Nothobranchius furzeri: one gene and its partner. The protein of the gene in region 1 purifies or fractionates together with the protein of each later gene. This does not show direct contact. Links are inferred from orthologs where the notes say so. Each region holds a gene or a part of one and is shown in the gene's direction. Other genes may lie near its edges. The genes, in order: map2k2a and ksr1a.

Region 1 (4,555 bases):
CTTTCCATATGAAATTGACATTCTTTTAATTTGTTGCTTGACGTAGGTTTTGTTTTTTTCCTGAGTGGATCTTCTAAACTTCCAATAACCTTGTGGTTGGAGATGAGGTGGTTTGGGTTGCTGCTGTGGAACTGAGCCAGACACGTTTGGAGGTGAAACAGCTGAGAATCTGGTCTTTTAGTGGCATCTTCTCTTCTAATGATGCATAAGGTAGCACGGACAGAGGCTTATCCATGATGTACATGTTTTGTGTTGTTTTTTATGTTCATATAAAGACAATAAAATTTAAATAATATTTTATTAAGCCTTGAATTGCCTCCAGTTGTTCTTACAGGCAAATGGACATTAAGAAGCTGAGAGCAGCACCACTGGACTCTGATGTCTCTGAGGACTGGTTCAGGGGTGGATTGTCATGTCCTCTACCAAACGCTCAGATATCGGGACGCATTTTGATGCCTGTTGAGGATGAAACTGTAAAATTTGAAATGAACGTAATCTAACAGCTGTTATTGATGTGTTGAATTAAAACCGGTTCTTAAATATGCCTCTGGTCTTTAATTTTGGAATTTTTGTTCTTGAGTGACACGATTTAACGAGGGCAGATTCAGCCAATTATATCTCTGCCCTTTACAGGTGATCTCAATCAGATTAACAGTCAAAATAAATGTATTTTGTCAGCATTTGTAATTCCTGAACATTTCAAATTTTATACTTGGTGAGTAGTAGTGTAGTGGCATATTATGTTGATCTATCCAGACAGATATATAAAATTATGCACTATTGACAACTATCCAATTCCTCAGTCAGTTTTTAAGTCACTTCTCGGTCACATTGCAGTGTGATATTGAGATTTGATTCAACCAAATGCAGTTCAGTGCACAACAAGTGACTCAAAGAAATTACCCTAGCCAATTTAACGGGATTTTCTGTCACAGCAACGTGTCTTTTCTCTGTAATTTAAATGTATAGGATGCCAGTTTAGAAAAATGGTTGAACTGGAAAACTAGAATCATCAGAAGGAAAAAATGCCTACATGACCTACTATATTTTTGTTCGCTTCATTTGCGCAGGAATTGTGCCTGGTCGTCTTGATCGAGCCATAAAATGAAAAGTACAATTTGACTTCCCCTTGTGTCCAGTAGGGGGCAATAATGCACCTTTCCGCGTGGTTCGGAAACGACTGATGGAGAGTTTTATTTAAACAGTCATTGTTTCACGTAATTTAATTTAAAACTACACTAAAATCTTCTAACAATCTACAAATGTGCCCCAATTTACATCTTCACTTGTTCTCGCGTGAACTCGTCACTCTGTTTCTGTCTCGCGGTATTTAAGCAGAAGCAGCAGGGCTCTCCCCTGTGGGGTTTCTCACAGGCTGCTGCTTCCTGTAAGAAGGCACCAGCGGACAGCACCGCGGCTCTGGAGCGTTTCAGACCCTCTGCACACCTCTTAAAACACAAGGGGACAATTTAGACAAGTCCGCCGGCTCGGTCTATCCGAGCTGTTTGCCTTCTACGCACTTCGAGACGAGGACCGCTGCATATTTACGGCTGAGAGGCGCATATTTTCACTGGAGCTAGCAGTGGCTATGTGGCTAATGGCTAGTAGCAGCAGGTAGAAAACCCGACAAGGAGCTGAATACAGAACACCTGTCACTACACAATCCTATAGATGAACCGACAAAGCTATCCGACGTTTGAAGGGCACATCGGCATGCTGGGTTTTAGCAAACAAGCTAAGTGACATGCTCCAAAAAGTGTATAATCTCTGCTTACGGTAACTAGCCACTTAGAGCGGTTCCTGTTGCTTTTTCGAACGGACTCTCGAGCACGGGCGAGGTCGGATTAGCCCAGTTTACTCAAATCTAGTGTTTTACAGAGAGGGAGTTCTTAGTTTAGGGGATTTAGAAATGGCTCCTAAAAGAAGACCCGTGCCTCTCAACATTACGCCCATTGGGGAGGGACAGGCCACCTCTAACACCATTGATGCTGCATCAGAGTAAGTACCGACGGTAAACTGTCATTGTGTTTTGTTGGTGTGTTAATATACACGTTCTGTGTAAAAGTTTTTAAAGTAACACACAATCAGTGAACTGATTTCTGCTTGGTTGCCTAAAGCTGCTGTAGGACAGCTCCAGATGTCGGATAAGACCTGCACATCAGGATAAAAATAAAATTCCCTATTTTTTTTTATTCATCTTTAATGCTTGTCTTTTCTTATCAGAGCCAACCTGGAGGCTCTGCAGAAGAAGCTGGGTGAACTGGACCTCGATGAGCAGCAAAGAAAACGTCTAGAAGCTTTCCTCACCCAGAAAGCCCAGGTCGGGGAGCTGAAGGATGAAGATTTTGACCCGATTTGTGAGTTGGGTGCTGGAAACGGAGGAGTGGTCAACAAGGTTCGCCACAAACCCTCGGGTTTGGTCATGGCTCGAAAGGTGATCATCTGCCTTTGGGTGTTTCTCTGCAGCTGAAGTGGGACGATCGGAAGGAGATGAAGCCAGCGAGATTAGGCATGCCAGCGTTTTGCTTGTATGCTTTTGTGACATTTGCCTCTTAGCTTTGATGTGGTCGTTGTTTCGCTCCTTTTGGTGCTGCGTTTCTTTACCCGAGTAACATCGGAGTGCAGCCTTTCTTGGTTTTACAGTGCAGTTTTGAAACATCGCAACCCTCGTTTGCAGCTCTACACATGGTTGTGACCAGAGAATTCTAGTCCTTCACCAAAATTAAACTCCGTTTAACTCTGACATTAAATGTGAACATTTACATGGGAACCACTTATTTCATATAAATCCTCAGTGACACTTCTGTAAGAGGAGTGTTGGGAAAAATACAAAGGTCATGTGTGAGGGCATTTACTGGCAGTTCAAACACACAGATTTGTCATAACAGGTGGGTTTTTTGTTTTTGTATTTTTTTTAACCCTGTTTCTAGTTTATTGCAAGTCTTGACATTTTGCCTAACACAAAACCTAAACGGCCTTCCTAAACTAAAAAAAACTTCCAAACCTGCTGGAACAATCCAGTATATGTTTGCAGACCCTCTCAGAAATTCTGCAGCAACTCAAACTTGTCCATATGCGTGTGCAGACGTGTCCACTGATGTTTCCTCAAAGCGTTCAGAGATTGAATGATGTAACTTAAATGCATGTCTCTCATTGGTTGCTTTGAAGTGTGCATGCAGATTGTCCCACTTGTCATTTTGTCCCTGATCGATGCGTTTGTACGGAAATTGATGGTTTCACCATTTCCTTCTCAGTTAATCCACCTGGAGATCAAGCCTGCCATCAGAAACCAGATAATCCGAGAGCTGCAGGTGCTGCATGAATGCAACTCTCCCTACATCGTGGGCTTCTATGGAGCCTTTTACAGTGATGGAGAGATCAGCATCTGCATGGAGCACATGGTGAGAGAGACTGACTGTCTCTAAAGCTTTCTTCAGACATTAAGTATGAAACATTAATGGCTTCATTAACTTAATGGTGATTTTTAGATTTCCTTAGCGTCAAGAGTTTTTTTCATTGCTTCATACTATACCAGTGCAACAAATCCTGTTAATCTGCTAAGTGTAGCAAAGATTGCATCACTTTTCATCTTCTTTAAGCGTATTCTGTTTAAATTTCCTTCTGCATTTTAAATCAAATCAACAAACATGTTTTCCTTTTCTTCAGTATCTTATCAGTGCTGATTTTGAGATGATGCAACACTCACTACTGAGTTTTCACAACATATTTAGCAGTAAACATTCACATCAAGTTAACACTTCATGCTAAACTAACGGATAACAAACAGAAATGTTTTGCATTATTCATAAAAGTGGTCAAAGAGGTAAGAAGCTGCTCAGCTTTTGGCTCAATCGCTGTAAATTATAAAATGGTGTCGTGTCTAATCATCGTCTGGGGCTAATCATTAAGTGTAAAAGTTAAAGGTCTGTAATTTGGGCCGTGTTTTTGTTTACTTTTATTAATCATTTGTTAAATAGCCCACAGCTACTGTGCTTAACTGTTCTTTAGTGTGTGACTTCTGTTGTTCAGGTTTGGTTTGCTGAAAGGGATTTTGGACCAAACCAAATCTGACCCGTGTTTTCAGATCTGACACGGGCACATGCAGTCATGATGTGTTTAACAACAGGTGGCGCACACAGGAGCTGGGTTCTGTTGATGTGACTTGTTAATAAAGTTTAATCTTTATAAAGTAAACTTTTGTCTGTACAGGATGGTGGGTCTTTGGACCAGGTTCTCAAGGAAGCCAGAAGAATTCCTGAAGAAATACTTGGAAAAGTTAGCATAGCTGTGAGTTGACTTGTTTGTTCAGCTTTAATCTTTTCATCCATTGAATTTCGATAGCTGTTTTACTTTGGCGAGGTTTAGCTACACATTCTTGTGGTTTGTTGGTGTACAGTCTGCTTGTTGCTGCCTGCTCACTGTTCCTCGAGTCCTTTTCTAGTCTTGCTTGACTAGAGCTGTCCAGTCATGCTTTAGTAACACACGGTGGGATTCACAGTTCTTTCTGACTTTTAGCTCTTGCATTAATTTTAAATTTTACTAGTAGACTTGCTGC
Region 2 (3,815 bases), on another chromosome or scaffold:
TCTTGAATAAAGACCATAATCTATCCCACAAAGCCTTCAAAACGGCATCTAAATATAATGTACATACATCTAAATACATAATTCACTTCAGGTGGATACAGGTATAAAACTGAACCATGCTATGCCTGTGCAACGAAATGTGGTGTTTGATTTCTACGGCCAATAATAATAATAATAATAATAATAATAAAACTAAGAAGATCTAAAGAAACAGATGAAAACCAACTAGACTGGCTGGGATCAGAAAAACGGACTCAGTGTAGTTTTAATGGAGAAGTCTGTGATTGTTGGTGAATAAAATTAACTCTGCATCAGCCGAGGTTTTCTATTGGGTCACCTTTAATCTGTAAAACACTTCCAGTTACAGTCCTTGTGTGAAAAGCACTTTATAAATAAAGACTGATTGATTAGAAAGTTGTAGTTGAGTAGTTTTCCATCACATGACTCACTATATTTGGTAACAAGCTCTTTGCACCAGGATTTAACTAAATTAATTGTAGTACGTTACTGTTAGAGTTTTATTTGAGATTCCAGTGATTTATAAACCTTTTAATGAGACATTTTATAACGATGTTAACGTACTGTAATGCTAGAGGCTGCTCAGTTCAGCTCGGTGGTTTTTAACTAAAAACTCTTAATTTTGACAGATTTCTCTCTGATTTAGAACAATTAACTGCACCTGCGTGTTTTCACCAGAAACAATACCTACAATCTTACCTGAACGTAGCGGGTTAAGCGTCCAACATTAGTTGCTATGGTGACGCAGCCCCATAAGGAGTGGACCTGTTTGAAAACACTGAAAACCCTCAGTTGAACCCAGCGTTACCTCAGTAAGCCTCTAATCCTGGCCCATCGTACATGCTCCTGATGACGCCACTTAATCTTGATGCGACTCTGAGTGCTACCGGAGCTAACGGCTAAGTGCTACCAGGCTCCTCATGTGTTTCCTCCCTCTCTGTGCAGGTTAAAGTGCCATAATAAATGCACAAAGGAGGCTCCGTCCTGCAGAATCTCCTTTCTACCAAGTAGGTTTATATTTATTTACTTCTGGAGACGATGTGCACAAACATGGTGTGATCTTACTAATGTCTGTGTGTAGTTGCCAAAATCAGAAGAACAGAGTCCGTTCCCTCTGATATAAACAACCCTGTGGACCGACCACAAGAAGCACCGCAGTTTGGTACGCTACCAAAGGCCATCACAAAAAAGGTAAAAGTCCAACTTCAGCTTGTTTGTGAGGCTGAAAAATGATGTTGTTTGATTTATTTTTGGCTTTTCGAAGCTGTTTAAAACCATAAACTGTGTTTCTAGTTACAAACTAACCTGGCCAGCTATCCTATATATGTAAATATATAGTCTGGCCATGACCCATAGACAGACCTCCCTCGTGGAGCGTAATATACGAACCGTCTCCGCAGTGCTGGGACCGATCAAAGCATCAGACAACAGGAAGTATTCATTGCAATGGAAATCTGTAGCGATGGGACTCATGACTCTTTGAAGGGAGACGTTCATTCGAGAGCCGTTTACCTCAAAGGGCCGTCCCAAAGACTGGCTCTTTGGAACAAACTGAAGCGTTCTCTCGCCTCTACAAGAGCTTGGTTCTCATTGTTCACTTCAAAGAGCCGTTCGAAAGATTCGATTAGTTTGTGAATGTGACATAACTGGAAATCATTCAACGGGGCAGGCCGCCTACACCGTCAAAGACGTAGACAAAGACGAAGTAGCTCTATCGGCTCATGTATCAAAAACAAAAAAAGCCCAAGTCCAAAAGTCCAAAGTTGAGGCCATAGCCGTTCTTGAGCCGCCGCCAACATTGTTGTTTTGCTCCGTCACAGTTCTGCCATAATGACACTAAGCCCACCATCTCTCTACCAACGCAGCGCGCTGTGATTGGCCTGGTCTAAACTAAGCCGAGCCAATGGGAGACCTGCTTTTGTCTAGATTTCTAAGCTAGTAACAAACCGGCTCTGCTCTCGCCAGGATCACCCTCCTGTAATGAACCAGCTGGACTCCAGCAGCAATCCTTCCTCCACCACGTCCTCCACACCCTCCTCCCCAGCACCCTTCCAGCAGAGCAACCCCCCCAGTGCCACGCCACCGCCCAACCCTTCACCCAAAGGCCACAGAGACAGCCGCTTCAACTTCCCAGGTGAGTCTGTCGTCCACGACAGCGGACCTGTTTAGTGTTGAGGATGCCTCACAAGCACTTTGACCCTAATCTGTTCTTTCACTGCAGCCTTTTATTCAGCAGCTTGACTAACCAAACCTCTGTCTGCCTTGCTGATCTGTCCTCCTCCTCTTATTTGTCCAAAAGCTGCGTGTTACTTTCAGCATAGACAGCAGTTTATCTTCCCCGGTGAGTTGACCCTTCCAGAGTGACACGCTGAGTTCTTGTTGCTCCATCATAGCACCCTGCAGCTTTCCCATCTTCACGCATGAGTCCCGCGTCTCCTTACTGTGTTTTTGGCACCATCTGCTGGACGTAGTGAGAAGTTGCAGGAGGCTTTTATGTTCTGGATGTGTCATTGTTTCCTAAATGGTGTTTTCCTTTTCTCTAGACGTTTCCAGTCCTTCAAGTTTGTGCTCTGATGTCATCGAAGACACGGTGTAAGATTCTGATGCGGCAAAGTTTAAATCAAATGAGGAAATGTTTCGTTTGACCTGGTTTTTACCTCATTTCCTGTTTCCCAGCAGCGAGATGCAGCAGTGTGCAGATGACATTCATACCCAGCTGGTTGAAGATGAAGATGAGGATGAGGAGGTAATGAGTTCTAGGTCTAGAAGCGGCTCTGCTGTACCAGTGGTAGTGCAAGCTCTACAAACCTTCACGGCATGGTTGCAGGAAGGTGAGGAAGACGTCGAAGATGAAGACGATGATCAAGGAGACGAGGCAGAGGACGATGATGAAGGGGAGGATGAGGAGGAGAGGGAGCAGATGAGGATGAATGTGGGCTCGGATGGTGAGTGCGACGAGCTGGACGATCTTCCCTGCTCCAGGAGGAACCAGTGGAAGGGCCCCATCTCCCGTAAGCCCAGTCAGACCAGCGTCTACCTGCAGGAGTGGGACATTCCCTTTGAGCAGCTGGACCTCGGAGAGCTCATTGGAAAAGTGAGGAATTGGACAAATCTCAGCTTTGACACGCGAGGAGGCGCCGTTTCACACTTTTTCTGTTTTCAGGGTCGCTGGGGCAGAGTGCACAAGGGTCGGTGGCATGGCGAGGTCGCCATCAGACTGCTGGAGATTGACGGGAACAATCAGGACCATCTGAAGCTTTTTAAAAAGGAAGTGATGAACTACAGGCAGACCAGGCATGAGAATGTGGTCCTGTTCATGGGGGCCTGCATGGCCCCCCCGCACCTAGCCATCATTACCAGGTACAGGACGAACACCACCTTGGGCATTATTTAAACACAAATAACAGTTTTGGTCTATTTAACCTTTTTAAAATAATTTCCCCGCAGCTTCTGTAAAGGGAGGACGCTGTATTCAGTGGTACGGGACAGCAAGCACAATTTGGACATCAATAAAACACGACAAATCGCCCAGGAGATTGTAAAGGTATTTGGTTTTCTCATTTATCTCTACATGTCACTGATGCTCTAAGTCCACTCAGCTCAAATGCGGCCCATCACCCTGGTAGCTTTACGCTAGAGACCCGTCCACGTGTGGTCTGGGTTTGAACTTTTGATCACAAACACTTCCTGTTTTCTTGTTCTCTTCTTTTGAGTGGTTTTAAGTCTACTTGGGTTCATGGCACGTTAGCAAGCATGCACGCTAGCTCAGCTGGACATTCTGAACTGACCGTAGTGGT

The links.
Region 2: the proteins of map2k2a (region 1) and ksr1a purify together in Homo sapiens (affinity purification with mass spectrometry; 4 studies listed by BioGRID and IntAct, with this or other methods). This does not show direct contact. The link is inferred for Nothobranchius furzeri from reciprocal best matches to the Homo sapiens genes MAP2K2 and KSR1.

What each region holds. Positions count from the first base shown.
Region 1 is NC_091748.1:51,292,638-51,297,192, reverse strand, and holds the start of map2k2a (dual specificity mitogen-activated protein kinase kinase 2a), read left to right. Parts: upstream 1-1,684; 5' UTR 1,685-1,909; coding exon 1,910-1,998; intron 1,999-2,223; coding exon 2,224-2,434; intron 2,435-3,254; coding exon 3,255-3,401; intron 3,402-4,209; coding exon 4,210-4,287; intron 4,288-4,555. UniProt on the Homo sapiens protein: Catalyzes the concomitant phosphorylation of a threonine and a tyrosine residue in a Thr-Glu-Tyr sequence located in MAP kinases. Activates the ERK1 and ERK2 MAP kinases.
Region 2 is NC_091750.1:49,805,469-49,809,283, reverse strand, and holds part of ksr1a (kinase suppressor of Ras 1), read left to right. Parts: intron 1-963; coding exon 964-1,025; intron 1,026-1,099; coding exon 1,100-1,209; intron 1,210-1,983; coding exon 1,984-2,152; intron 2,153-2,317; coding exon 2,318-2,359; intron 2,360-2,561; coding exon 2,562-2,610; intron 2,611-2,694; coding exon 2,695-2,764; intron 2,765-2,845; coding exon 2,846-3,112; intron 3,113-3,181; coding exon 3,182-3,378; intron 3,379-3,465; coding exon 3,466-3,562; intron 3,563-3,815.